Linked DNA regions of Rattus norvegicus. The protein of the gene in region 2 interacts with the protein of the main gene of each other region in a biochemical or structural test. Links are inferred from orthologs where the notes say so. Each region holds a gene or a part of one and is shown on either strand. Other genes may lie near its edges. The genes, in order: Rgs19 and Gipc1.

Region 1 (15,080 bases), on a different chromosome or scaffold from region 2:
AGGGTCTTAAGCCCACACCAACAGTGACACACCTACTCCAACAAGGCCACACCTCTGAATAGTGCCACCCCTGGGTCCAGCATATACAAACCATCACAACACACCTATCTCATTTTATTTCAGGTCCTCTATTCTATTCAATTGACTTGCCCGCCTAGTTTTCATGCCAGTGCCAGGAGTATGTTTGCAATATTAATTCTATCAGTCCAGAAGCGTGGAATGTCTTTCCGTGATCTAGTATCTTTTGTGATTTCCCCTTTTTGTTATCGTTTTTTAATGTTTATTTCTGTGTATGGTTGCTTTGCTTGCATATATGTCTTTGCACCACATGCATGTATTACATGCCAACGCCAGAAGAGGTTGTCAGAGACCTTGGAAATGAGTTCCATGTGGTTGCTAAGAATTGAACCAAGGTCCTTCAGAAGAGCTGTCCATGCTGATCCTAGTTAGGGTTTTACCGCTGTGAACAGACACCATGACCAAGGCAACTCTTGTAAGGACAACATTTAATTGGGGCTGGCTTACAGGTTCAGAGGTTCAGTCCATTATCATCAAGGCAGGAGCAGGGCAGCATCCAGGCAGGCATGGTGCAGAAGAAGCTGAGAGTTCTACATCTTCATCTGAAGGCCATTAAGAAAAGACTGGCTTCCAGGCATCTAGGAGAAGGGTCTTAAAGCCCACACCCACAGTGACACACCTACTCCAACAAGACCACACCTCCTAACAGTATCGCTCCCTGGGCCAAGCATATAAAACCATCACAATGTCCTTAATCACTGAGTCAGTTCTCACTTTTTCAATATCTGGAGGTTTTTGTTGTAGAGGTCTTTCTCTGCTTTGGCTAGATACATTCCTAAATACTTAACTTTTAGAGTTATTTTGAATGAAATATTTCTCCTGATTTCTTTCTCTGAGAATACACTGGTGATATAAATACTTTGTTTTGTTTTTAATTATTTTATGAGTGAGTATTTTGCCTACATGTATCCTTGTGCATTCCTCCCATTCCATGGAAGCCAAAAGAGGGTGTCAGATCCCCAGGGGCTGGAGTCATAAATGGGTATAAAGTGCCATGCTGGTACTGGGAATTGAATCCAGGTCCCAGGTTCCTTTGGAAGAGAGGCCAGTGCTCTTAATTACTAAGCCATTTCTTTAGCCCCAACTGTTTTTTGTTTCTTTTTTATTTTATGAATTTTGTATCCTGCAACTTTATTGTAAGTGCTCATTACATCCAGTAGTTTTCCAGTAGATTAAGTAGGACCTTTTAAGTAAAGAATTGTGCCATCTGGCTGAACCTAGTCCTCCCCGCACATATGTAGCAGATGTACAGCGTGGTCTTCCTTTGAGTCCCCAGTTGGAGTCAGGGGCTGTCCCGAAAGCTGTTGCCTGTATGTGGAATATGTTCTTCTAGCTGGGCTGCCTTGTCTGGCCTCAGAGGAAGAGGAAGCACCCAGCCTCCAAGAGACCCAGGGTGTCCCCACCACCTCAGAGGAGGAGAGGGGGACGGGGGAAGGATTGTGGGAGGGGGTGACTGGGAGGGGGCAGTGAGTGGAAAGTAAAGTGAATAAGCAAAACATAAATAAGTTTTTTAAAGTATTTCCTTTAAAAAATGTGCCAACTGCAAAGATAGTTTGATTTCTTACTTTCCTATTTTTATCCCCTTTACCCCTTCCTCTTGTCTAATTACTTTAGCTAAGACTCTGAGCACTAAATCAAATAAGAGAGGGGGAGTGGCCGGGCAGCAGTAGCTCATACCTTTAATCCTAGCTCTCAGGAGGAAGAGGCAAGAAGAGCTCTGAGTTCCAGGCCAGCCAGAGCTACACAGAGAAACCCTGACTCAAAAAAAAAAAAAAAAAAAAAAAAAGGAAAAGGAAAAGGAAAGAAGAAAAGAAAGAGGGATTGGATAGCCATGTGTCTTTCCTGATTTTTAAGGAAATGCTTTTTCATATGTAGAATTTGGCCAATATGTGTATGTATGTAAACAGATGTACTTATGGCTATGGAACAATGTATAAAAAGGAAAACAAGAAAGGCTAAATATTAGAGACTGAAGAACTGAATATAAGTAATGGACACAAGTTATAAAAGAAGTTAATTGTTTTCCTAGCTCTAACTCTGTTGTAAAATTTTCAGGCTTGGTGGTGGATACATGCATAAAAATATATTCGATATTGAAAGAGTAAAATCCAATGTGAAGCTCCAGCTTCTATTTCAAACAGCTATTCCAACTGTAGAGAAGTTCACTGAGTGTATAGATGTGGGGTCTTGTTAATTTTGGCATGTGATTTTTTTTATTTGTAAGTGTTTTTTTAATAATAAAAGTAGATTTAAAAATTAAATTAGCTGGGCAGTGGTGGTGCACACCTTTAATGTCAGCACTTGGGAGGCAGAGGCAGGCGGATCACTGAGTTTAAGGCCAGCTTGGTCTACAGATCGATTTCCAGGACAGCCAAAGCTACACAGAGAAACCCTATCAATCAATCAATAAATAAATATTAAACTACGGTAGTTATTTTTTTAAATCACTAAATCAATGATTGCGCCATAGATTATAGAACTTTAAGGCCTGCCATCCAAGTTTAGAGGAAGTTAGGGTTTGGTAAACCTCTAGACCCCTGAGATCCCAAACTTGCTCCAGAGTCGATGAAAGGAGGTACTGAGTTCCTACAGGGCTTAAGGTGGGCCTTAGTCACAAAGGTATTTTGTAGGAGCTCTGCCCAGAAAGCTAGCTCCAAAGAGCCTCTACAGCCAGAACCCAGCCTCCAAGACTGGGACAGTGAATCTGAGACACAGGGTCACTTCGAAGGAAATGTGGGAGAGGACCTGAGGCAGGTTACAACACACACACACACAACACACATGCGACTCTAATTTCTGCATCTTATGGGCGTACCCCATTGTGCTGGGGAGCGGGCGGGGCTCCAGGTTGCTAGGCAACATGGTCAACAAACCCAAAGATTGAAAACCGAGGTGAGTCTTCCCACTGAAAGGGAAGAAAGTATGAGGTTGTGAGGACCTGGGTTGGGGAGGCCTAGATGTTGAGCTGTTAGGTGGGCAAGGGGTTAGACAAATTGAGGGAAGAGCATTCAACTGTGTCTCTACTTCTCACCCACAGAAAGTCAGGAGCTTCTGCTAGGATGAAAATGGTTGCTAGGGTTGGTTTTCTTTCCCTTTCTGAGCCATTCCTCTTTTGTCTCTTCTTCCCTGGGTTCTGCTCCCCACGTCTTTGCCATAAGGAGATAGGCCAGAAGAACAAAGGCTTAGCTTCCCTGTGAACATATGTACACTCAGATCCAAACACACATATACCTACAACACCATTCACATACACACTCAAACACAAGGTGGGGTCCCCTGTCCAAGGTATCATGAAGGGCCATGTCCTTACCCCTACCCCAACCAAAGACTAGGGATCAGGGAACAGGATCAAACCAGCCTCTGATGGTCCAGAGTTAGGGGACGCTGAATGGCTTATGACCATAGTGATGCGAGCTGTGGAGCAACAATGGCATGTAGGACAATTGAGTATACTACTGAAACTGGAGAGGATCAGAAAGTCATGGCCTACTGCAGATATACACAGGGTCAGCTACCAGTTTAGGAGTTAGGTGGCTACAGGAAGTCCCATAGAAACAGAACTGGAGCCAGTGTTCCCCTAAGTGGCTGGACATCCCCTTTTCTTCCACAGACTGGAGCATGCCGACCCCAGGAGTAAAGGGCGCACGAGAGCAGGCCAAAAAGAGTGCACCTGTAGCTGGAGCTGGTGAGAAGCGTAAGAAGGGCCCATGGACTACAGAGCCTCCGAAGCCAGGCTGGGCACTGACTCAGGAGAAGCTGGCAGCCATGTCCTCCACAGTACGCCGACGCCACCTGCTCTTCAGTGACCTACTTGACATGGTTGAAGTAGGCTCCATGTTTCCACGCGAGTCGGTGGAGTTATCTTACTGCATGCCCGACCCTCGCATCTGGACACAGGCATTAGAGCTACCATCTGAGCGTCAAAATCGGCTTCTGGGCATCCTTAAGGCCGCGGAAGCCCGGGGCCGAATCCGTGCCCTGCGGTTGCGCTACACCCGAATGCGGGTAGGTAGAAGGGAGAGGACCCAGTACGCGTCTTCTAAAGAGGGCTCACCCTGCAGGGGGAGGGAGGGTATTTTTCTAGGGCTCTCGCTCGCTCGCAGGGTTGCTTAGTAAACTTGGTTCCCAGGCAGAAGAAATCTCTCTCCTGATCCAGAAGCAAAGATGCGCGCGCGCCGCCATCCGACTGGAACTGTTCCTACCACCCCAACTGAAGCCCACGAAGATCCCTGATCCTTTGGACCGACAAGAGGTGCGGGGAGGCCCCAAGACTGGTGGGAGGGTCCCGTGCCTCGCCACACACTAGCCCCAGCCCCTCTCTCTGCAGCGGAGACGTGTTGAGACAATCCTGGAAGAGGAGGTAGATGGCAACATCTTCCCGCGATGACCGATGACCGCGACCTTGGCGTTCAAAGACCCCAAGTTACAGCGGCTCTCCACTCTTATATAAAGTTCTCTTCTGAGGGTTCTCAGGTCTTTCCCCTCTTTTTCTCCTGGACCCCCACATGGATGCTGCCTCTCCTACGGCCACAGCCAAAGAAGTAAGGAGATGGCGGGTGGACACTCCTATCTCCCAACAGCCTGCAACTGGTGCCCTTCAGGACCATGGATGTGGGAGGCTTCTAGTGTGGAAAAGGATAGGGATGAGCCTACTTAGACACCAGCACCCCCAGAAATCGGGGCTGTCTCCAAAGTTAGGGTCATTCCATCTAAGGACTAGGGTGGTGTTCTGGGACGGGGAAATGACTGCAAAGCCAAAACAGGCCTTTGGAGAGTTCAGTTGTGCCCAGAGGACCAACAGGTTGTAAATGGGATGTTCACTCCAAGGTCTCTGGATGGTGGGACAGAAAAGTCACCCATAGCCTCCCTTTCATCAGAAACAGCCTCCTGGGCCCAGTCATGCACCAAACACGGAGCACAGGAAGGAAGCCACCCATCCCATTCTGACCACTGAACTCTTAAAAGTCCCTGGTTTCTGGGCAGCTCTTTTTCCTCCTCTCCACAGCACTGGCTCTTTGCAGAACCTGTGGCCTCTTGGCTCCCTGTCCTTGTCCTCCTTCCAGTCCTTCCCCATCAGGCTGCACAGAGGTGGACGCTGCAGGGAGAAAGATAGTTCCCTGCTCTTGCATGGGGGCTCCCACTGGTTCTGCATGAAATAGAGAACAGAATGGAGGAAGAAGAGATCAAAACTGTGGTCCAGAAGGATCTTACTTGCTGATGGCTAGTTCCCAGGGTTCTGTTTCCGCAGCTGGTCTTCTCCCCCTGCACATGACCCTTCTTACTCTCTGGCCTGTTGCTGCTCTAGGCCTTGATCCAAGCCCAGACTGCAGCATTCACAAAACAGCAGCAGCTCTCAGGAGGGGGGCAGATTTCTGACAGTGGGGAAGATGACAGAGGCAGGGAAGTGGTAGGTTTGGACGTGGGTATGGACAAGGAAAAGGACACAGTCTCTTCATCCAGGAATGATGATCTCTCTCACACACAGATGTAGATCTCTAATAACAACTACACTACAGGACAGCCAATGCTGAGCTCCTCTGGCCAAGCTCTAGACCCTAGAATTTTGTCTCTTAAGAGATTCGCTAAGTGAAAATTTCCATCTACTTTGTAAAGTTGTGCCATTGTTCCATCACCTTTCTGACCCTGCATTTCTTCCTGGGGGTTCCGCAGTGTCCAAAACAGTGAGTAATCCACATAAGTACTTCAGAACAGAGGGCTGAGAACAAAGGCAAACATCAGAAGGCCAGCACTCCAATGGCACAAGAGCTCCACACCACGTGCCAGACCAACTTAAGAGTGCCACTTGCTCTGCGCACCAGTGAGGGAACTGGGTTTACAGATGCAGCTAGGGAAGTTGTCATAGGATCCCTCTGTCTGAAGAAAATCCTACAGGAACACAAAGTCTGTGGCCCATGCACAATCAGGTGGGGCTTGTGAGGAGCTGGGGTCTCTGCTCTCAAGCAGAGTAGATTGCGTTCCAGTTCCAATCCCAATGACATCACTTACTCAGTGCTCCTGGTCTCCTTCCTTGACTTGGAGGCATTTTCTGTGCTTAGGGAAAGGTGCTAATTGTGTGGAGGGCAGATGTAAGGTGGCAGAGAACAAGGAGATAGGTGTGTAGAAGGAAATAAGAGGAAAGTGTACTGACTTCTACCCACAGTCATGCCCGCACCAAACACTGCAAAATCAGTTTCTTTTTTTGGCTTCCATCAGATACTCATCCATTTCTATTGGGCCTCCATGTTCTGACCCATGTCCACCTCTCAGAAATATTACTTAACTAAAGTAACTGTTCCTGTTTACATAGGCTTCTTAGCCTCTACCTTTGGAAGCCATTAGCTTGGCAGCCAAAGGGTTCTGTGGTTAACTCATAAAGCCCCACACCCCTCCCTCCAGAGCCTGGTAATCTCTCACCCATTGTTCTCTCTTCATCCTGGACCCCTGAGCATCATGGCAACATCCTGCCTCCTCACCTCTCACCCCATCCCATTGTTGCCTGTCTCCCACTCTAGTCCACTGCAGTCATTTCAGTTACTCTGCCTCTGCCCCGCTGCCTGAAGAGCTCATGTGAAGCCTCTCTGACTTAGTATGTATGATTTTAGTATGTGAACACAAACAACTTGTGTGACTGAACATCATTTTGTTTGCAAGACACCAACACCTGAACTGGTCAGGCTGTGTGCCCAGTGCTAAGAAGAACAAGAACCATATGGCCCAACGGACCACACTCTACAGACCAAGTGTAAAGCATGCTGGGATAATGAACTAATTCAATTTTGTACCCAGTGACAAAGGATCTGAAGAGTTGACCAAAGAGCAAGGCTATTTGTGGTAAAGGTTATCTTGGAGCAGTTTGAGAGTTCAGAAGGGACTCAACCAGGTCCCAGAAACATTCGGGGTGATTTGATGGAAGAACCTGCTTTCATGGTGCCCACACGCTGCAGTTCCTGAACCTCCCTTTTGGGGGTTGCGGGGTGGGGGGGGATTTGAATGCTGAGTGACAGACAGACTGTTAATGCTACATTACAGACCAGACTCAGAAAGGCGAAGAGTCAGCCAGACCGGGCAGTACCACGGGCCAGTCCTTCTCAAAGGCCTCTTCTAACCCAGGCGAGCCAAGTAGCACACAGGGCTCAGCTCTGGTGCCCAACATTGCACTACCACAAAATTGCTGGGAAAACTCAGCTAACTAGAACGGAGCGCCGGCTCAATCCACTGTCTCTGAACGACTCACCCCTCAGGGTCATCATGCCACGCTACCGCAGTACGACACGCCAGCCGCGGGTGGGGCACCGGAGCGGGCGCGGGGCGGGGCACTGCGGGCGAGCGAGCAGGCGCTGGGGCTCGAGGAAGTCCCGGCCCCTCTCTTTGGGGAAGTACCGCGGAGGCGCCTGCGCACTGCGCCTGCGCCCCCTCCCCGGCGACCAGCGGGACTTCGGAGCGCGCGGGTGGCGTGACTCGGGGACGCGGCGGTGAGTGCAGCGCTGGACCGTGGACGGGCCCCGGCGATATAGATGCCGGCTCTGTTCCCGGACTTCAGTGACCGGTCCACGTGGACCTGGGTCGCAGTAGGACCGGAGCCCACCCCTTGCGCGTGGGGGAGGGAGAGCCGCAGCAAGGTTCCCCTTTTCTCCAGCTCAGAGCGTTGAGAAGTGATTGCTCAAAGGTGGGGGCCGGAAGAACCCAGGTTTCCGTGTCTCCTGCCCGCTAGCCTGGTGGGGAGGGGCCAGACGAGACACCCGATCTGCCACCTTAACCACCCTTCGAGTTGGGTCCGCTAGTCAGTTGGCCTGGCGAGCCTTAGGGGTGAATGCCGCATCCCCGGCCCCATCGGAGCGGAACTCCGTGAGCCTTTCTACCTCGCGAGTGCCCGGGAGTGCGTCTTGCTGTCTGACTTAAATCCTCGCTGCTTTAGAGCACGCCCCTTCGGCAGCCAGGGTGGGGCCCAAACCGAACCTGGCCCTCCCGCCCCCATCTGCCTTTCGGTCGCTGGTGAGTTGGGCGCCATGGTGAATTCCTTAAGAGAGGGGTGGGGGCGTCAGAGACTGCAAGAGGGACTGCGAAGTGACCAACCCTCCAGACGACCCCATCGGCAAAAAAGCAGGAACTGGGTGGGGGCCTACCATTCCACAGGTTAGCCATGGTGAGAGGCCTGGCCTGCCATGGAGGTATAGGTAGGACAATGACAGTGTTGAACGGAAATGAGAACGGACCCCCTGTCAGCGCCCCCGCCAAAGGTTATGACTTTTTTTTCTGGAATTTATCTTTTTTTTTTTTTTTTTTTTTTTTGGTCTGGGTGGGCTTGGACATTCTTTTTGCTTCTGTGGAGCAACACCGACAGTCATTCACCAGGGAGCTTCTGTCCCCAGAGAGCAAATTTACTGAATCTGGCCTCTTAGCATAGACTTGGGAGGCCAATGCCTGGGAGGCTTGGGGAGGAAAGGAGCCCTTCAATAGCTGGATGTGGGACTGGACAACCCTGATTCAGACTCTAGGCTTTCCTTGCCCAGAAATGAAGCAGTAGTGAAGAGCACCCTGAAGGACGTGGGTGGTCCCAGCTGACCTTTGATGGGTGCAAGGAGCTAGGACCAGAGCCTGTACCAGTGCACCCACTGGACCCCAGCATCCAGGCCCCATGTCCAGTCAGCTGATTGGAGATGAACCCTATGAGGGATGGTCTGCAGGGTGACAGAATGATGGTTTTGGAAAGCATGGAGACCTCAGGCTACTACACCCCTTTTCCCTACTTGCTGTGTCCTGATTTACTTGCTTGGAGACTTGGGAACCCACCATCTCAGAAAGTGTCAGGTGGTGAAGCTGCCCAGAATATAGTGATCAGACAGAAACAGGATTAAAAGGCCTCTGCTGGATGAAGGACCACAGGAGGGTAAATTTCATTAAGAAAATGTGAGCCCCAGACAGATGAGAGGAAGCAGGGAGAGGGCTTAAAGCCTGAGTGGCCTCCACCTGGACAGAAGCAGCGGGCACAGGCTGGGGAGAGAGGAGGCACTCAAAGCTCCACCAAGGTGCTGATTAGATGCTTCTGTTTGGGGACACTGGAATTTGAAGTCAGCTTTCGGTGGCCTAAGGGATTCCTAGAACCCCCTGTGAAGGTATGGTCCAACATCAAAACTGATAAACCATAAGAAAATCCACCGAAGAGCCCAAGGTTCTTGCTAAGCAGTTTATCCTCCTACATTGCCACACTAGCTTCTGTATCCTAGGGAGATAGATGGAAACCAGGGTAAAAGTGGGATTATCTGAGGCAGCTGAAAACCAAAGAACCTTGTTCCTGAGTAAACACCTCTCATCAGTGCGTAGCCCATTCCTCACACTTCCAGAAGTCTTGTTCTGAGTCCCAGTCAGGTACTCAATGCTTCAAGCCTAGCACCTTACAGTCATCTGGGTAGCATCTCTACCCATCTCCCTAGAGGAAGGGAGTGGAGGAAGGGAGTAGTCAATATCTGACACCCTACATACCAACTTGTAGCTCCAGTCCCCTTGGGAGGGGCTAGGAGCCGGAAATCAAGAAAGAGGAACCCAAGTTTCCGGCTTCTCAGGGACTGAACAGATAGATAGGGGTGTCTGTGGAAAGCCCAGCTGCAGTAGCCTGTCACTGACTCAGGAATCTCCACATGGTATAAGTAATCAGGCTTAGGGTAAAAGGCTGGGGCAGAACTCTGACCAAGCCCTGAGGTGGGTGCACAGGTTACAAGGTTGGTGGGCCAGCATCACAGGCTCTCAGTCAGAATTCCAACCTTCTTCTCAGATCTGCCAGGCTCCTATGCTGCACTGAGAGTCCAGAGCTGGCACCACAGAATCTGGGCAACCCCCTCCACTCACCCATGCCCACCCCACATGAGGCTGAGAAACAGGTAGGCACTCCTCGCCTCTTATTGGGTCCCTGGACACCTGGGGTTCAAGATATAACCTTGGGGACATAGGCAGATGGGCAGAGACAGAAGGTCCAGTGAATTCTAGAGCGGAGGTTGAGGCAGCCCCCTCTTCCTCAGCACACAGGGCCAGAAGAGGCAGACAGGCCTCCCTCGATGTCCAGCCATGATGCAGCCCCCTCAGGACCTCCCAGTCGAAATCCCTGCTGCTTGTGCTGGTGCTGCTGCTGTAGCTGTTCCTGGTATGTGGACCTTGGAGGTACAGCTTGCCCTGGGAAGACCTCAGGGCATTTGGGAAGGGGTACATGGCTCATGGGGAGCAAAACCAGAGTATGTAGGCCTGGGAGTACATGGTTCATGAAACACAGAACAGGGGTATGTAGTCCTGGGAGCAGCTCATATAGAAGGACAGAAGCATGTGAAGCTGTGATGGGGTTGTCATTTAGGGCTTATTCCTGGTCCTGGTCCTTAGACCCACCAAAGGCTTCCAAGAAACCATTGAGCCCCTGCCACAATATCACCCTGCCCACAGACTGCTAGACCTTGTTGGCTGGTGGGAATACCCAGATCCTAGGGGTCTTTCTATGGCTCTTAAATGTTGTATTTGCCTGAATATGTCTGTGTGCTGCAAATATACCTGGTGCCTGAAGAGCCAGACGGAGGTGTTGGAACTGAAACTACAAACAGTTGAGAGCGAATATGTGAGTCCTGAGAATCAAACCAAGGACCTATGGAAGATCAGCAAATGCTCTTAAATACTGAGCAATCTCTCCAGCCCTTTTTACACCTAGTGTGCTGGGGACGGGGGTGGTAATATTATATTGCAAGAGCAAGCAAGTGGCAGTCATATGGTGTCCATGCACTCACCATATACCTGTGTATACCACTGAGAGCTGCCCAGATCCTAGACTGTGTGCAGTAGGGACACATTTAGATAAGGAACAGCTGGCCCTAGGCAGAAAGGTATTTGAGGTTTGGGGATGTCTGATGGCAGGAATATAGAAGATGGTAGAAATTTTCTACCTTAACAGCAATCTGGCCCTACAAAGACTGAGGGACTCAAAGTGGGATCTGTTGAACAGCAAACCACCCAGAACTGTGTATAGGCAAGATACAAGGAATAAAATGTGAATAGGCAGGGCTCATTGGAAGCTTGAGCCATGTTGTTGCTGAGAAGCCAGGCCTAGTGGGAACTGCATTCTCTCCATAACTTGGGAATGAGATGTACATTGTGCCTGCTGAACAAAGACTGACAGGAAGAAGCTTCCCTTAGAAGCAGGGTTCAGGATCCAGGACCAGACAGGTATAGTCACACTAGAGAGGCTCTTAGCCTACATCAGCCAATGAGTCATATTACTATGTCCGCAGTGTGGATTTTTCAGTGGCCTCAGGAATGAGCTGGAACTAGGCTGAGAAGTATGGTTCTATCTACCCAAAGAGAGGAAGGGGTACCAGGAACCTTAAGAGTCCAACTGCTGACCAGTATAGAGAGCACAGTGGTAACCAGAACAGCAATCTGCATAAGCCACTTCAGTGGGGGTGGGGGACGGGACAAGAGGATGTGAAGAAGGCTCACTGTAGGAGCTTCCTTCCTTCCTGGTAACAGATTTACTGGTGCTAGGTACCCACATACCAAAGCATACATAGTCACAGTGGTGTGTGGAGAACTCAACTGCAAAGGGCACTGCCACTTTACTTTGCCACTAGGAACCAAGAACGGCAACGAGCTTGGCAGGTTTCCCGGGAAAGCAAGCTGCAACCCCTCCCCAGCTGTGAAGTCTGGTGAGTATAGCCACCATTGTGTAGGCATGCATGTATGTGTACTTGTGTGCATGTCTCAGGCCTGACATGGTCTGGCCCTAATGTCTGCAGCACTCCACCAAGCCCTGAGGAAGTACAGAGCTGGGCACAGTCCTTTGACAAGTTGATGCATAGCCCCACGGGCCGCAGTGTATTCCGGGCATTCCTGCGCACAGAATACAGTGAGGAGAACATGCTCTTCTGGCTGGCTTGTGAGGAGTTGAAAACAGAGGCTGACCGACATGTGGTGGATGAGAAGGCGCGACTTATCTATGAGGACTACGTGTCCATCCTGTCCCCCAAGGAGGTGGGCCAGATGCAGGGATGAGTGGGGGTGACCTGGGAAGGCACTGCCCCTCCCCCTGACCTTGGTGCCTGCCACACAGGTCAGCCTGGACTCCCGTGTTCGAGAAGGCATCAATAGGAAGATGCAAGAACCATCACCACACACATTCGACGACGCACAGCTGCAGATCTACACCCTCATGCACCGGGACTCCTACCCTCGCTTCCTCACCTCCCCCACCTACCGCTCTCTGTTACTCCAGGGGGCCCCACAGTCCTCTGAGGCCTAGGTCATTTGTCACACAGATGTTCTCCCATGGGCAGCCTAGGGGTGGCCCTGCTCCACTTGGCTGAAATAGACTGCAATGCCATGTTCTGCTCTGTCCTAGCCTGCTCCTACTGGGGGTTCTCCTACATGGTGCCTCAGACCACCACCCTCCAGTCGTGTGCCCAGGAGATGTTCTCATGGAGAACATCCTGTATAGCAACAAGTTTGTAGCAGGAGAACGTTAATTCCTCAGAAGCAGATATAGAACCTCAGAGTCAGACTCAAATGAAGAGCCCATTTATATTTTATATATTAACTTTAAAGTTGTCCATACTGTATGTTTTATCAAAAGAAAAAAAGAGACCTTTCACATTTGTGTGTATTCCTCTACATGCCAAAAACATGATATAGTATTCTGTGTATTTTAAAAACAGAAGCCTCTGTTTATCCCACAGTTGGAGGAGGAGGAGGTTGGAGAAAAGGACTATCTATCCAGATTCTACCTTGTGTGCTGTCCCATAGCATTGGCCTTAGTAGGTGACTATTGTGGGCCCTGTCCAGGGTCTGGCTCTAGAAACTGGCCTCAACTCTACAGTGGTCAGCACCCAACAAAGGCTTGAGATGCAACTGGAGATGATGTAAAACCTAAAACCCTTGTGTACTTGATGAAATGCCTTTCCAGAGGCTGGTGGGGACAAAGCGGATGGTATGGTCTTTCCAAAGAAGCTAGGCACAGCATCTTAATCTTACCGGTCCAATAAAGCAACACACTCGCTACTTTGTTCTTCCAAGTTGCTGGAAGTTTCAGCAGTTTGAAGCTAGAATTAACTTCAGCTCAGAGACCATCCTCCACCATGGGTAAGGGGAGTGAAGGACAAAGTAAAACATCCTGAAAGGATACCAGGTCCTCAGGCTGCCATACCTAGTGAGAACGGGTGAGCACTGGGCAAGTTCCTGCACCAGCCCACACAGCCAGCATGGTGGTGCACATACAAGCATTAGCAATATCCTAGAATCATACAAACAAGGAATGTCTCCAACATTAGACAAGCTCTTGTCTATAGTGTTGCCCTACCACAGCTTAGCTCAAGTGTTGTCGGAGCCCAGAGAGGAAAGATCTACAGCGGTGGACGGATAGGACCCAGCTGAAGCCTGTGTTTAGCCCATTAGGAGCAAGGCCAGAGGAAGGCAAAAAAGAAACATTTAATGATGAGGGGCAAAGGGCAGGCAGGTGCACACCAGGCAGGCTGGAACGGGGCATGCCACCTGCAGGGTATCTCCAGAGAAGCTGTGTCCACCAAGAGCGTTGCAGGAGGTTCAGGGTTAGCCATGGCCAGGGCTACATCAGTACAAGGACTCAGCAGAACTGCAGGAAGGCAGGAAAATGTCTAGCCAAGGCCCCACATGACCCCCTGGGTAGAAGTGGGTTAGGCTCCATCCCAGACTCCCAGGCAGCTAGGAGTCCCCAGGACTCCTAGCCAGGAGGAGACTCCCAGCCTGCCTCCTCCCCACCCCCACTCCCACCCCATCTCACCTCCCACCCCACCCCCGCAGTTCCTACTTCAGGCCCAATATGCATTGAGACAGGACTGGAGGCAAACACCTACCTTCCATCGATTCCCACACTCATTGCAGACAACATAGGTGGTCATGGGCTCATCAGAGCTACGGGTCTGCACCTGTAGGGTGGGTGGCTGAATCCCTGGTTTTGCTGCCCGGATCTGGGCAGTACTGGTCTTATACCCGCTGATCTCTATTGATGATTTGAAACTTCCCAGTGAACTACCCCAACCTTCTAGAACTAGACCTCTGGAGGAGGTAGGTTGTCATGACAGGCCTTTGTGGCCCTGAACAACTGTGCTCAGTTGAGTCTAGAATATTGGTTAAGTGCAGGATTCCCAACAGGAGGGTCTAGAAAGTAAAAGGATCAGAGATGCCTTGGGGACTCAACAGCAAACATCCCACAGGGCCTGAGCTGTGGGGACTGAGCTGCTCTGCCCCTCAGGTCCAGCCCTCTGCAGCCTATTGCAGATGATGGAAGTTCCCATAAGCCCTAGAGCTTCTACCAGAGAGACCATCTTAGTTTAGTCCCCTCTTCCCAAGCTCCCAATGTCCCATGGAAACCACATAGCCTTCCTAGAGTACCTCAGCTTCCACCTCCATAGTAGGACCTCAAGGTCCCACAGCTACTGACAAACAGCATGTTCTACTCCTATCCCATCCCTCCGTGATAGGCATGGGCAAGCCACCGAGCCCTGGCATAGAGCCTCAGGCCAAAAGCAGGGACACAGGTGATACCCAAGAGGAGGAGGAGTGCACCCTGCGGCCCCTAGACAGGAGGATGGAGGATGGTGTAGGCCCCGACCTGCGTGTAGGTGCAGTTCTTCTTCCTGCACTTGTTGCAGGTGAACAGGTCGGTCTGTGTGCCACCTGTACGGGCCATCTGGTGCTCTCGGATGGCCTCCTTGGTCATAGCCTTGCGGATCTCCTTCAGCTCGTCACTGGCCATCTCCTGATAAAAAAGGTGACGTATGCAGCCCACAGCTCTGTAGAGACAGCCGGCCCCAGCCCTTCCAGGAGAGCTTACCTCTGATGTCATCACAGCTATCTGCTGGGGTGTAATGGCACCACACAACACATTCCGGCGTAGGCCAGGGTTCTTGGCATCTTTCAGGTTAGAGATTCGGCTCCGAACACGGTTCTTGTACTTCATGTCAGTGTTTCCCACATCCAGGAAGATGCGTGCAGGTATTTAA
Region 2 (14,816 bases):
CTTCTTACCCAGTGCGCTCAGGATGCAGGGTCCCCATGGCCTGGAACTTGGCTCCTGCTGCCCACTCCAGCTACTCCCTGGCTCCCGGCAGGCCGCTCCCTCTTCCTGGGGCGGCTCCTCGGCTCCGTGCCGCCTCCACCCGCACTCCACTGGCCTCCAGGGGCTGCTCCACCCCATGCATGTCTGCCCTCTGGGGCTGGGAGCCTTGAGTGGGCAAAACCTCTACAGCTGGCAATGGTCAGGGCAACTGGGCCCAGCTCCTTCTCTTCAAGGACTGAAGTTTTCTGAATTGGTTTGGTTTCTGTGACCCCCTCCTCTGAGCGGGACAGGAGCAAACCCCCACACCCTCACCCGGGCCTCTTGCCCGCCTCATTAATAAAGTGGATAAAAATCTAAACACTGGAAAATGTGAGCATCGCCTGGGGCGAGCTGGGAGGGCTATGAACTCCCGTGAGGGGGGCGGGGGTGAGTGTGTGTGTGGTGGGGGGAAGGTGGGGGTTGTCCTCCTTGGGCTTGAGGGTTTGGGAGTTGCCTGTGTGATGGGTGCTAGCAAAGCCTCCTACCCTTGCCTTTATTGTTGTCACAGCTGGGCAGAGGGCAGCCTAGGCCAGGGCAAACAGGGAGTCCTCCTAGGAGAAAGGGAGCTGGTTAAATGGCTCAGGGGAGCCAGGCTATCATCTGCCTTAAGATGTGGAGGGCAATTCGCAGGGTACCTGAGTCTTTCTAACCCTGAACCCATAGCTATGCCTCACCTTTTATCTTGAAAAGGGGCCCATGCAGCCACTGTCAGATCCATCGTAATGGGAAGTAAACACTGGAGAGCACTCACCATTGCGGACTGTAACATCTATTCCCAATACGGACCCTTGAAATTGATGCTTGCCCACACCTCGGCACTGGAGGTAAATCTCACTGGCACTGTAAATCTGTTCCCAGCCCCAGAGCACACCTCCTGATGTAGTCCCCCTCAGACCAATGCCCATGGACCCCAAGAACTTGTCCTGAGACACATAATCACATCTCTAAGGCCTGGCTGGCTGTTTATCCTGAACCCCCACTGAACACACTGAACACAGCTCCCTGAAACTCAGAGGACCCAAGGCTCACCCACAATACTCACAGCTCTGGCTCGCCCTGGCCACCAACCATCCACTACACATGGCTCCACCCAACAAAGCCACACAATCCCAGCTGCGCCCAGCAGACATGCAAGACCCCAGCACGGGGCTTGGGGTACAGTTCAGTGACGGAGTGCATCCTGAGCATGTGTGAAGCCATGGGTTCCACAATCAGCAATGAAAACGGGCCTGAGATCAGGTGTGGCAAATGACCGCTGGCAAGTAGCCACCTGCAGGGCTCTGTCCCATATCCAGGATACTCATCTCTGCCTGGTACCAGCGAGCCAGCCCCACTCAGCCTTCCTGCAGCACCGCTGCTAGGCTCACCCCCAAACATTCCTACCGGGTGCTAGAGAGATCTCTGGCCTGGCTCCCCTTTTTCCAATTGCCTTCCTTCTCCCAAAGTCTGGCCAGGGTCCCACCCCACCCTTTCCTTGATCTCCCTAAATCCTAGGATAAAAATGGTCTGTCAAAACAAGCTTGGCAGGTTTATGTCTCTGTGAAGCACTGTGCCCCAAGTACAACCGGGCACAACCTGGGTGCTGTAACAGCGCAACAGGCTTTGCTGCCACAGAGGGGTTAGGTGTAGCCTTCTCACACAATAGGAGCATATGTGAGGCCTTGGTGAGTGGGGACCAGGTCTGAACCCCAAGCTAGCCAGAAACTTCAGCACTGCCTGGAAGCTTGATGGCCTCCAGCCAGGGGGAGGGGGCGGTGGGGCAGCCAACTCCTAATTCAATTTGGAATCCAGGATAGATTTCAGCTGCTGCATTCTTCCCCTGGCCACCCCTCCTGCCCCAGAGTCAAACAGCTCCCACAGTAAAATCTCTATATCCAAGGGCGTGTGTGTTGATACAAAAGCCACTGCCTCCTTCACCCCCACCCCCCACCACTGACTAAGGGAGAAGGAACCAGGGTTAACAACCTCCACTCAAATGGGAGGTAACAGAACCCAACTGAGGAGCTCCTGTCAGGTGGGAGAAGCTGAAGGGAGGCAGGAAGAACTGGGAGTGGTGATGCACACCTTTATTCCCAGCACTGTGAATGCAGATGCAGGTGGATCTCTGTGAGTTCAAGGCCAGCCTGGTTTACAGAAGGAGTTCCAGGACAGCCAGAGCTACATAGTGACTTTGTCTTGAAAAAAACAAAGCAAAAAAAGTAAAGTAGGGAGGTCATGACCCCGAAGAGAGCTGAGGCCAGGGGGACAGAAGGGGCAGTTGCCAGCTGATAGTGGGAAGTGTTGGGGATAGAGGTGGCTGGCTGCCTAGTGTGTTGGTCCCTCCCCATGCGCTTACTCTATTGAGGTAGGTGGGGAACCCGGCAGGGGTTGGCCGGGGACCCCAACCAGGCTGGGCACCGTGGCGGTACTGATTGGAGCGGGGCCTGGACCACAGGGCACTTGCAGCCTGTGCCATCCCCAGGCTGCGGAGTTACAGCCTAAGCTGTCAGCCCAGGTCTTGGCTGTGGTTTCTGGAAACCCCAGCTGGGCAAAGCCAGGTTATCTCAAGGTCCAGGTTCAGTCCCAGTCTTAGTAGCGGCCAACCTTGGCATCCCCGATGGCTCCCCAGACATCAAAGACGAATTCATCTGGGAATGCGAAGTCACCGAGCCGTTCATCCAGAGCTTCTGCCAGTTCGTCTGGGTTCCTTTTGTCTTTCCCCAGCTCCACCATCGTGGCAGCTGTCAGGGAGGAGAAAGACGGAGGCACGATGTAGCTCAACTCCGCCTGGGTGGGACCTGGAAGCCTGCTCCCACCTTCCAGGCACGGGTGCCCCACTCACCCAGCTCTGTGTCTCTGATCCCCATGTAGCTCTCTAGCAAGTCATCCACCTTTTCAATGGCCTTTTCCTCAAAAGCTGACGGCTGTAGAGGGTGGGGACAAGACAGTACAGTAATGTCAACAGATGTCAGTGCTGGGGACAGCATGCAGGCATCAGCTCCAGTGGTGAGCTGCATGCACCCACTGGTGTGGCTGCCGCTGTTACTTATTTAATGTAGAGGATCCTTTTGTCTGCACATATCTGTGTGTCCTATGTGTCTGCCTGGTGTCTGTGGAGGTCAGAAGAGAACACTGGACCTCTGGACTGGAGTTAAGAGATGGCCACCCGTCATGGGCACTTGGAACTGACCTGTGTGGTCTGCAAGAGCCACACCTCCTATAAACTGCTAAGCCCATCTCTTCAGTCCCAACATCCAGAAATTACCATTCTCATACCCAGACATATTCTAAGTTGCCCAAACTGGCTTTGAACACTTAACTCCTATCCAGTAGCCTGGAGAGGATTATGGGTACGTATCTACACTGGGCTGCCTTTCATCTATTTTCATATAAGAACCTGGTGACAAGGTCTTACGGTTTGAGCGAATGTGAAATCCTCCTGCCAGAAATTCCGTGCTGGCAGCCCTTTTTGTTTACATCGCTAATGTCTGCTCTGACAAGAAGTCACTGAACCTACTGGACAGGGAGGAGACCCCAGGCTGCCCGATGGACCACCGTAGGTCCCAGAGCTGGTAAGAGTAGGCTTAGGCAGAGAGAGGTGTCCTGAGCCTTTCACATAATTAGAATGGTGTCACCGGCCCGGGGGGCTCACTCACCAGATCCTCCACTGTGGCAGGGCCCCGGGATCGGAGCCGGAGGGTCCCTCGGCCAGTGCCCAGTTGTGGGCCTGAGCCAGGGTGACCACCTGATGAACGCTGGCTGATCATATCTGTAGAAGGCAAAGGTAGTGGGGAAAATCAGCCCACGGTAACACAGTACGCAGGCTTCACACAACCACCTCCCACCACCTTCAAAGTTCTGCAGGCTCCTTGGGTAGGGACTGGGTTCCAGCAAGGCAGGACTTTGCATGGATGGTGAGGGGCAGCTAGGGGCCAGACATAAAAGCAGCTGGAGAGAGAATGGAAGGTAGCTTCTATTTGAAGGAGTGAGGGTTGAGAAGGGTGAGTGTAACTGCTGAGTCTCAGATAAGCCCTTTCTACCCACATCAGGGGTGCCTCAGGCCCATTCCTGAGAGTTAGTGAAGCCAGGTAGAAACGGGGGGGGGGGGGGGGCGCCGGGCACAGGAGCCATACAAGGCAGCCAAGCCTCACTTCTCCAGGCTGAGGGGGCTGGCCAGGGTTGGGGGCACTCGGCTGGGCTAATGGCTCCTGGAAGTCGGGTGTGGGGGCGACTTCCTTCTGGCTGGGCTGTCAGCCAGCACTCAGTTCTAGGGTAGGGTGGGGCTGCCCCCACTCTGCACTGCAGGCTTGAGTGCCACCTGCTGGTGGTTCCCAGGACTACAATCTGTATTTCTTAAGAGCTCAAGGTCAGCCCGGTGGGTGGTCCAGGTTGCAAGAATGGCTCACCAAACGCCTTCCGAGGTTCGGTGAGTTTGAGGGTGAAGGTGCGGCCTCGGGGCAGCTCTTTGAGGAGCCTGGCAACCTCATAATGCCGACAGCCCAGCAGGCTCTGCCCGTTGATGGCTTCAATCATGTCACCCACGCTGATGAGCTGGATGTGGTCAATCACACTGCCTTCCTTGATGCGCTGTGGAGGGGCAGGCATCAACCCTGGAAGCTCCACTCTAGGTCCCATTAAAGACCCTGGCCACTGACTAAGGGTGTGCCACCCACCCGGGCACCTTAATGAAGGCATAGCCGGCCCCGTTGTCGGTGATGGTGAGCCCCAGAGCATCCTCAGACTTGAATACTTCCACCTCTTTGCGCTGCCCCTTGACATGGGCAAAGATGAAGTCCTCCAGCCCGATCTGGCCCCCCAGCAGCTTGTCCATATCCACTTTATGGGTGTTGAGGGTACAGAACATCACCTGCAGAGGTGGGGCAAGATGCTCATCCTTCCTCCCTGGGTCCCCTATCCCAGGGACTGGTAACACCCAAAGCCAAGGAGAGGTCCACTGGCACATCAAATGCTATGAGCAGGATTTCTGTCCTGGTAAAAGCTCAAGAGCTAGCTTGACATACAGAGATCACTCGATACTTACTGAGGGGTGAAGGGGGTCTAGACTCCCACCCAGCCTTCCTACCCATCTCCACTTGAATCTCAGTCCCACTGTTGCCCTCCCAGTGGCTTCTCAGCTTCTAGCTTGGAGTCATGCCTCCAGGGCACCCTGGAGAAATAGAAGCTGCTCCTAACACCCTCCCTCCCCCTCTTGAGGTCCCACAGTATTTGGGGCACAAGCTTCCCAATGCCTTGGAAACCCAGCTGCCACCTGTGGCTGTCATCCTCCAGGACACAGGCTACTTCAGACCTGATGGGAAATCAGTATCTGCAGACCCACAATTTACTAGATTACGAGCCTCGTAAGGCCCGTTGGGAAACCCCCCCCATACCTACTAGGGTACAAGTCTCTCAAGGCCTCATAGGAACTCAGTATCCTCCTGTAGCCACGCCTCCTAGGTTCAGGGGCTGCTGGCCAGCAAGGAACACGAGCCCCAGCTCACAGGAATACATGCCCAGGCCTGTGGCTTGCTCTTAAGGGACCGTGGTCCCACTGGTACCTCAGCAGCCGGTAGTCGGAAGGCCTCAGCGATCTTGCCGTACAGCTCCTTGACATTAGTGAAGCCCTCGATGCGGCCCGTGGGGCTGCCGTGGGCCAGCTGGGTATGGAACACGAGGCGAGGCCGGAGGGAAGCAGGAGGTGGGGGCAAACCCATCTGGGATTCCCCTGCTCCACTTCCACCCAGGGGCCCGGGCTCCCCGACGCCCAGCCCACTCCGGCTTGGCTCCGCCTCCTCATTTTCCACCAGAGGTGGTGCTTTTTTCCTTCGCCCCAGTCCCAGTGGCATGAGCAGCCAGAAGTGGGGACTTGGCCGGGAGACCTGCGAAAGGGAATCGGGCTTCACTCTCTGAGTACCAGCCTTGGGTGCCATCCATCACCACCACATGGTATCGACATCAACCAACATGGTTCTATTTTGCGAAGCAATGTTTCTTAACCCAGGGGCCTGGTGCTAGTCAAGTGCTCCACCACCGAACCCCACCGTGTCTGATCACGTGACTCAGGCTCCCAAGCACAGGGAGCCAGGACACCTCCAGCACATTGCGGCCTATATAACGTTGTGTTGCGTTTGCGTTCTGCTGAGGCTTTCATCGCCCCTGCTTGGCTGGCGCTTGTCCACAGAGCTGCAGCTCCTCCCGTACAGTGGAATCTGCTGTACACATTTAAAGCTATGCAAACTCTTCTTCCGCTGTATTGTCTGAAGAGTAACAACACAAGATTCTGTCCATGGTCAGCATAGGTACAAGGCTCTCTCCGAATCGGCCATTTTGGCCTTGTGCATGTGGACCCAAGCTACAAGTCTAGACTGCCTCTTACTTTTTAGTGTGAGGCAGTTATCTCTCAGTTGCTCAGCTGTCCTTGAACTTGCAATCCTCCTGCTTCAGACTGCAGAGTGGATGGGATTACAGGGAAATAGCAGGACATCTGCCTCACCCAAGTATTTTCTGTATACAGTGGATTCAATCTGGGCACCCAGAGCTGATGTGAACGAAGAGAGGTGACTCCAGATAGCTCCGATGCTGGGGTGCAGCTCAGTGGTGGAGCACGTGCTAATGAGGACCCGGTCTCATCCCAGCATCAGAATGAAGCCTCGCACTGCACAGTAATAATCCCCACAGAGATACCCATTACAACCCCACACCCGCTGCTCTGTGACCTCGTTCAATTCTCCTTCTGGATGAGGCATGAGGCCGTTGGTGCATCCTGCCCTGACCACACCCACTGGAGCAGACAACTGAAGGGAAGATAAAATGCTGGATGGCCCTTTACTTTCCATTTCTCTGAGAAGGCTCTCACTCTGTCGTCCAGGCTGGCCTAGAACTCACCAACTCTACCTCTGTTCATCTTGCAGTGTTGGAGCAGATGGAAACCACCAGACACAGTGTCTTTTCATTTTCTATCAGTTGCAGTCATTAATGCTCTGTGCAAAACCCAAGTTTGGGTCTGGTTTATGTAAAAGAAAAAAACAAACAAACAAACAAACAAAAAACCATGAGGAAAGATGCCCTTGTAAGAGCATCTTACAGAGCTGGAGAGAGAAGGACCCCCAAGGCTCAAAGCCCACCTAGCCTACCTAGTGAGCTCAGGCCAGTGAGAAATCCTGTCTCAAAACGCAAGGTGGAGGGCTGGCAAGATGGCCATCACCCCTGCAGGCCTGAGTTTAATCACCTGGGCCCAATGAAGGGAGAGTGCGCACTCTTGCAAGCTGTCGTCTGACCTTTACATGTGCACTGGGCTATGTGTACTTACACACAAACAAACACGTATGTACACAAGCAAATGCAGTAGTAAACAGCACCCCAAAGTGGACAGCTCCCGAGGCATGAGACCTGAGGCTATCCTCCAGCCAGCTTCCACACACATCTGACGCGCACATATACCACACACACAGGAAACAAAACTCTTCTGAGTCTCTCCCTCACAGCACAGAGTGCATGGTCCCTGCCACGCCCCTTGGGACAGGGCTGGCAGATGACTGGTTCTGCCAATGAGTTGTGGCAGGAAGAGGCGGGCGATGCATCCTCATGGAAACTTAGTTACCGGGGTGAAATCCTCAGAGCAGTACTGCCCCTAGACAAGCAATGGCTGGCCTGTGGCAATGTTGGGCTGCATGGGTCTTTAGGAACTGAAGTTGTGGTGGTCTGAAAGAGAGTGCCTCAAGCCTCATATTTGAATGCCTGGTTCCTGCCATTAGACAGTGGGTCTTGAGGTGTCAAACACTCACTCCAGGCCCGGTCAGTCAATCAGTCAGTCTGTCTGTCTCTGCTTGATGCCTCTGACTAAAGTGTAAGCTCTCAGCTGCTGCTTGCCACAGCAAATCTCAGTACTTGGAAGGTAGAGGAGGCAGAGCTGTACTGTCAAGGCCCACCTGGCCTTCTCTAGTTCCAAGCCAGCCAGCGCTACAGAGAGAAATCCTGTCCCCAGCCTCCAGCACCCACCAAGAGTGTGGACCACTTTGTTTATTCGCATTTAGTGTGCGTGTGGTACACGCCCACTGTGTGTGAGTGTGTGCTCCTGTGCTCACAGATGCCAAAGGAAGGGAATGTCGTCCCCAATCGCTCTCCACCTCGGTCCTTAGAGAAGGGCCTCTGGATGGATGACCCCGCCCCCCCCGCCCCCGCCTTTGGCTAGTCTGGCAGCGCCCCCCCCCCCCCCGCCCCTGGCAATGCAGGTGCCTGGATCAGCCTGGTCCTCGCCCTGAAGCAGCAGCGCCTGTCTGAGCCACTTCTCCGCTCCTTTTATTTCTTTTCTCTCTCCCCCTCTCTAGCAAAGAACATTTTTAGGGGGCGATACTTACTATTTATATCCATGCGCTGATTTATAATTAATTAGTTTTTAAGGACAGGGTTTCTCTGTGCAGCCCTGGCTGTCCTGGAACTTACTCGGTAGACCAGGCTGGCCTCGGACTCACAGAGATCCTCCTACCTCTGCCTCCCGAGCACTGGGGTTGAAGGTGTGTTTAATCCCCCTCCCTGGCTTCACTACATACGAAGCACATAGCACATCTTTGAAAGGTGTGGTTGGAGTAGAGGGAAGGAGGGAGAGAGGCAGGGAAGAGAAAGGGCGTTGAGAGAAGGTGGCACTTTTCTTCTCTTGTAGTGCAGGGATGGGACCGGGGCTCCTGTACTTCATGGACCACACCCATACCCTGATTTCATTTTCGAGTCCCTTGTCCAAAGCAAAAAACCAACCGACCAACCAACCAACCAAAAAGTCACAAGTCACAAGGGTGCCTCATTTGCAATTCCCTGAGGAAGTTCCTTGGCCTTGACTCCTATCTTCAGAGATGTTTCACCTTCTCCTCACCCCACCCCCCATACAGCCCAGGCTGGCTTGCTGTATAGCCAAGGTTGACCTTGAACTTGTAATCCCCCTGCCTCATCCTCCTGAGTGCTGGGAACACAGGTGTACCCCACACCTGGTTAAAGTCATCTCTTCATTATTTTGAGGCAGTCACACTAAGTAGCACAGGCTTGCCCTGACTTCCGGATCCTCCTCCTCAGCTTCCATATAAAGCTCAACATCCTGGTACTAGGAACGACCAGTGCTTTGCGGAGCCTGAGGGGCCGTCCCAGGTAGAAGGGCACCCCGTTGGCTGGATCACTTCCTCCACGAGGGTTCCTTACTCAAGCCATGCATTCTTCTGACTCTGGCGCTCGCTCTACTCCCATCCACTCGCCTACACTACAAGTGGCCTCTGTGTCTTCAGGCTTCCTTTTACCCCCCAGTTTCCTGTCAAGTCAGCTAGTCAGAATGACCCTATAAACACTCTGGTCACTTCCTTCTCTGCTCTGATCGCCCCAGGCATCCCACTGTCCTTTATGCCCCTTCAGCCTGCTCTTCCTTAGCTCCCTCCCTGCAGCCACTGGGGCCTCTAACATGCTTCTCAGTTGGTCAGGCCAGAGCGAGCTGCCCAAGTCTAGGTAGTGGCTGCTCGCTCTGCTGCCCGGCTCTCTCCCCCACCCTACGGCTGGGATGGGTATTTCATGTCTTTGCCTGCTGCTGAGGGAGACCTGTGTCACTCGTGCCTACCCCTCATTATGTGGAACACTGGCTGGCAGCCACAGACACAGCACTGGTGGACGAATGAGTGCCCTGTGTAGCCATTTCCCCAGATCACACGCCCCGCTTGTGACCTTCATCCTGCTCCCAGCACAGTAGCCAGCAGGGGGCGCTGTTTGACAGTGCCTGACAGGGAGGCACTGCTGAATTCTCCAGGCTTTTGGGATAACCAATGGTACCCAACACCTTTTTGTACATTTTTAATGCTCTTGATTGGCTTTTTAGTGAATTGCCTGTTAATTCCTTTTGTTTGGTTTTTGAGACAGGGTTTCTCTGTGTACGCTGTTCTGGGACTCACTCATGTAGGTCAGGCATGCACGACCATCCGTCTTCTTTTTCATCAACCTAAGTCTTTTGTTTACATTATTCTGCTGGATGTGTGTGTGTGTGTGTGTGTGTGTGTGTGTGTGTGTGTGTGTGTCTGACTGTAGGTGCTGCAAAGGCCAGACAGCTCCATAGCTAGATCCCTAAATATAGAGTTAGAAGTAGCTGAGGCCGCCCACCATGGGTGCTGGGAAGGAAACTACACTTGATCTTAGCCAAAAGGCCGAGAAGCGATGGGAAACTCAGGTCCTCTAGAAGAGCAGCAAGCATTGTCAACTGCTGGGCCATGTCTCCAGCCCCTACAGGGCTCATTCATGGATGTGTGGGCACATTCGGAGGTTATTAGGTCAACCTTGGGTATCGGTCTCCAAGAGTCACTACTTTGCTTAAAATTTTTACTGAAGCTGGCCAGATGGTTCAATGGTTAATGCCTACTCTTCCAAAGGACCTGGGTTCAAACCTCGGCATCTACGTGGCCTCATCATAACTGCTTCTAACTCCAGCTTCAGGGAGGATCTGATGCCCTCTTGAGTGCGCAGACATGCATGCAGGTGACACATCCACACACATAAGAAAATGGTGACTTTGACACTAGGCTGGTTAACACAGCAAGTTCTCGGACAACCAGAACTATGTAGTGAGACCCTGTCTCAAAACCAATCAAAAATAAAAACCACACCGTGTGCACGTGTTGCCACAGTGGGTGTGCAGAGACTGTAGGAATCAGTTCTTTCCTTCTACCATGTGGGTCCCAAGGATCGAACTCAGGTCCCAGGCTAGGCAGCAGGAGCCTTTACTGTGCTGAGCCATCTCTCCAGTGTGCCCACTCTATTTATACTGCGAGCTTAACTCAGGGTCTCCCATATGCCAGGCAAGGGCTCTACCACTAATTTACAGCCCCTATCCCCAGCCCTACTTTGTCTTTTTGAAGCAGGGTCTCTCCTGGGACGGAGTTCTCCAGTTGGCCAATGAGCCCCACGGGTTGTCCTCTTTATGTCCCCAGAGCTGGGTACCAACAGCAAGCCACCATGCCTGGCACTTCCACATGGGTCTGTCAAATTCGGCTGGCCCAGTAAGTAATGTACCATGTCAGCTACCTCCTGGGTCTCCATGGCCCCTGCATGGCTTTGTTCTGAGGAAAATGAGTGACTCGTAAGTTAGAACTGAAGACCCTGAGGTGTGGTATGGTGGCCTGGATTCAAGTCCCTCCTTTGTCACTTAACAGCGGCACAGACAAGGCCAAGCTGCTTTACTTCATGAGGCCCCAGTCTCTGCATCTGAAAAATTGGCAGAATTCACATTTCTCGGGGTCCCTGTGGGACCCAAAGACTATGCTGCATGCAGGCTGTCCAGTGCTTTAGCTCATCGCTTCTGGAAACATTATTTGCAAGTGATGGAAACAGAAGCTAGCGCGTTTTATCTGCCCGTCCACCTGCACGTGCATGCGCGCGCGCACACACACACACACACACACACACACACACACACACACACACACAGAGCACTCTACCGCTGAGCCACACTCCCTCCTCTACCCTGCACTGATTCTGGGTGTGGGGGCAGGGGAGCTGTGTACTGTTGAGCCACGCACCCCTCTACTCCTCACTGACCAATTCTGGGCAGGGGCTGTACAGCTGAGCCACGGTCCCAGAACCTTACATCCTCCCTTCCCTGGCCCAGGACCACCCCAGTTCCTATGTCTGGCAAGGCCTTTTCCAGAATTCTCCAGGCAGCCTCCTTGCCGGAGCCCACTGGAGCAGCTCCCATGGTCTACAGGACATAGGCCTATGAACTTATTTATAAGCTACCCTGATGACAGCTCTCATCTTCCAACCTCCCGGCTGTTATTTATCGGTGTCTGTGCACCGCTTGTGTGCTTGGACCATGTGGGTGCTGGGTATCAAAAGTCCCAGCAAGTGTCTACCTTAGAATCCGACCTGACAAAGGGATCCCACAGTATAGAGGGAAAACTCAAAAAAAAAAAAAAAAAAAAAGAAAGAAAGAAGAAAGAAAGAAAGAAGAAAGAAAGTGTCCTGTATACTAGGCACAGCAAACTCCTGTGAATCACACCTCTAGCTTTGTTCCTTGTGTCAGCTATAGGACACTGCTCTGCCCGGGGTGGGTGGGTGTGTGTGTGTGTGTGTGTGTGTGTGTGTGTGTGTCCTCCGCACTGCAAAAGCTATACTGTTCCAGGACCCTTATGCCCAGTGATGCTGAGGCCACTACAGCACTTATGAGGATCTGCAATGGCTGCCCGTTAACTGGTTGCCTATTCCCCACTAGAATACAGGAAATTCTGTCCTGCATTTGGAGTCCTCTAAGCGAAATATGCTGCCAGGCACAATAGCTGTTCAGTATTGGTAGGTGATGGGTGTGTAGTTCAGATGCAAGGCACCTGCCTGCCTAACCTGTGAAACCTTGAGTTCCACGAGGGCTGAATTGTAGAATGTAATGTCATACATTCCCGACTGCCTGTGGCCCAAACAAACCCCCACAACATGACCGCTTGAGAGCTAAGTGTGAGCACCTCTCCAGTCTGTCTGCAAGTTGCTGAAGGGAAGTGGGTTGGATGGATTTCCGGAGTCCAGCACTCTCATCCCAAAAAGGGCCTGAAACTCAGCAACCCTACAGTCACAGTAAAGCCAAGTGGGGGGAGCAGGAAGCAGGGAAAGGGGTTGTTCCTGGGGCTCAGATAACGCCTAGCTTAGGGGACATCACACCTGCTCCCTGGTCGGTAGTCCCTCCCTGCTAACCCCCAGCACAGTATTGCTTCGGAGAGGAGGGCAGGAGGCCTCTGATTCATTCTTGAAAAACCGGATCCTGAAGGTTTCATCTCTCCAGTGTTTCCGGGGCGGGGGCAGAGGGGCAGGAATGCACAGCTTGACTGGTCTTGGCCTCGGTAGCCTGTCTCCCCAGACACCAAGCCTCTATACTTCCAGTCACTCCTCTTCACAGAGAAGAGTGGACAGGGTGGGTGGAAAGGAAACGGGGTTAAGCGACCCGTGGTGTTTGGGCCTTCCCTCTTCAGTTCAGAGAAGGACCGCGAGGGCTACTTGGAAGCTGTCCAGTGACCCGTGGGCGACAGGAGAAAAGCAAAACCCAGCAAGCAGGTGCGGCTCCTTAGTGAATATAAGGACAGCAGTGGGCGATGAGTCCAGGGGCTGGCTAGGGACACCTGATCTCTGGAACTAGTTTCTGGACTCAAAGGATAAGGGTCCCTAAGCCCCATGAGCTACTTACGAGCTGTGTGACCTTGGGTAAATTACTCCACCTCTCTGGCACTGGTGCCTCACTTCTAAAACAAGTTAACAACCCCTCCCAGGAGGGTGTTTTGATTCAACGCTGTGCACCGTAAGTGCCGGACGAGGAAACGCTGGTCCGGGTTAGGGAAGGGGAGGCATCAAACTAGTACAGCTGTTGTTACTGTTATCCGGACCTGGGTGGTCTCCGTGTCCCCGCGGCTTTGGGAGAAGGCCTGGGAGCGGACGGGAACACGGACCCACCACCAACAGGGAGCGTCCAGGGAGCAGAGAGCAGGGGCAGACCGGAGGCCGGGCAGCGGGGAGGGGTCCGTGTTTGGGGTCCCGACGCGGCCAGCTCCACCCCACCGCACGGCTCCACGCCCCGGAGGCCGCCCCCCGGGCGGAGGACACTCACCTGCGCCGCCGCCACCCCGTGCGCCCTGCTCGGTCCTCTCGAAACTCCGCCCGGCTTCTCCCTGGGCCTCCGGCACTTGGGCGGGGCCGGCGTCCCGAGCGGACTAATCAGCGGCGGCCGTGCACACTCATGTCCAATGAGCGCCTCCGGTCGGAACGCTCTGGAGGGATCCCTCCGCCGTACCTCGGACTCCCCCCATCGTGCGAGCAGTGGTCCAACCTTACTCGCTCTAAATGACGGAGGGCTGAACCATTGTGGGGTTGCACGGGTGGGCGGGCGGGTGGACTGGGCGGGGAGCTGGCAGTGAGAGTCAGATGACGGGGTTTGGAGGACCGAGCTCTGTACCCAGGAAAGCGCGCTTTTTGAGAGGTCAGGGAGAGGCCGGAGGGCAACCTCAAGCCTCGCTTCCCTCTCAGAAAGATGCTTTGATTCCAGGGGGTGGACCACAGTGAATAGGGAGGGTCCCGCGTGTCTCTGCCTCTTCCACTCTATACAATAGACAAAGGCGATCGCGCATTCATTCAGTCTTTCAATATTTAAGTGCCTCTGCCTGGTACCAGGCTCGGTCCTGTCTCTACAGACACAAGGACTGAGTATACACAGTGTCAAATACAGGGTGCGCAAAGGCTACGAAGATGGACAGGGAGCTCCAGAGCACTTCCGCAAGCAAAATCGTGTAAGAAGACCCCATGGAACATATCAGAACAGTAGAACACTCGACTTGTCAGTGTACTGTGCGGAATCAAAGCTGACCAACCAGTCCAGGTTTCTACCCTCAGGGAGGATGGACTCTTTTTCGCCACCTTCTTTTTCGTTCTTCTAGGTGCTCTAAGGTTGAATCAAGGCCCACTTTCTCCTCCTCTTGGAGGATCGGCTATTGGGTATTGTGCATGCTGGTCAAGTGCTCAAGGTTGAGCCACTGTCACTGGTGGATGCTGACAATCTACCTCCAAGCCACGTCTCCTGCTTCCCTTTAATGGTTTATCTCCAACTAACTCTGAGTTTACTGTGCACACACTTTGTCATCCACGTTCCTACCTTTTAACACGCAGATACACATACAGAGAAAGAGGGAGGGAGAGGAAGGGAGGGAGGAAGAGAGGGAGGGAAGAAGAGACAGAAAGAAAGAAGAGAAGAGAGAAGACAACGTGTGTGT

Evidence for each region.
Region 1: the proteins of Gipc1 (region 2) and Rgs19 form a complex in vitro, tested with the Homo sapiens proteins (2 studies listed by BioGRID). The link is inferred for Rattus norvegicus from reciprocal best matches to the Homo sapiens genes GIPC1 and RGS19.

Annotation. Positions count from the first base shown.
Region 1 is NC_086021.1:189,180,062-189,195,141, reverse strand, and holds Rgs19 (regulator of G-protein signaling 19), read left to right. Parts: upstream 1-7,854; 5' UTR 7,855-8,070; intron 8,071-9,847; coding exon of another isoform or gene 9,848-9,923; coding exon 9,924-9,953; intron 9,954-10,091; coding exon 10,092-10,213; coding exon of another isoform or gene 10,214-10,230; intron 10,231-11,678; coding exon 11,679-11,753; intron 11,754-11,843; coding exon 11,844-12,078; exon of another isoform or gene 12,079-12,157; coding exon 12,158-12,346; 3' UTR 12,347-12,694; downstream 12,695-15,080. Other genes in the region: protein LKAAEAR1, read left to right, coding at 3,467-3,584, 3,689-4,083, 4,235-4,330, 4,406-4,465; Tcea2 (transcription elongation factor A protein 2), read right to left, coding at 13,682-13,690, 13,932-14,003, 14,690-14,836, 14,912-15,066. UniProt on the Homo sapiens protein: Inhibits signal transduction by increasing the GTPase activity of G protein alpha subunits thereby driving them into their inactive GDP-bound form. Binds to G-alpha subfamily 1 members, with the order G(i)a3 > G(i)a1 > G(o)a >> G(z)a/G(i)a2.
Region 2 is NC_086037.1:41,378,002-41,392,817, forward strand, and holds Gipc1 (PDZ domain-containing protein GIPC1), read right to left. Parts: upstream 5,942-14,816; 5' UTR 5,904-5,941; coding exon 5,616-5,903; intron 4,925-5,615; coding exon 4,739-4,924; intron 4,645-4,738; coding exon 4,464-4,644; intron 3,827-4,463; coding exon 3,714-3,826; intron 2,982-3,713; coding exon 2,900-2,981; intron 2,799-2,899; coding exon 2,647-2,798; 3' UTR 2,124-2,646; downstream 1-2,123. UniProt on the Homo sapiens protein: May be involved in G protein-linked signaling.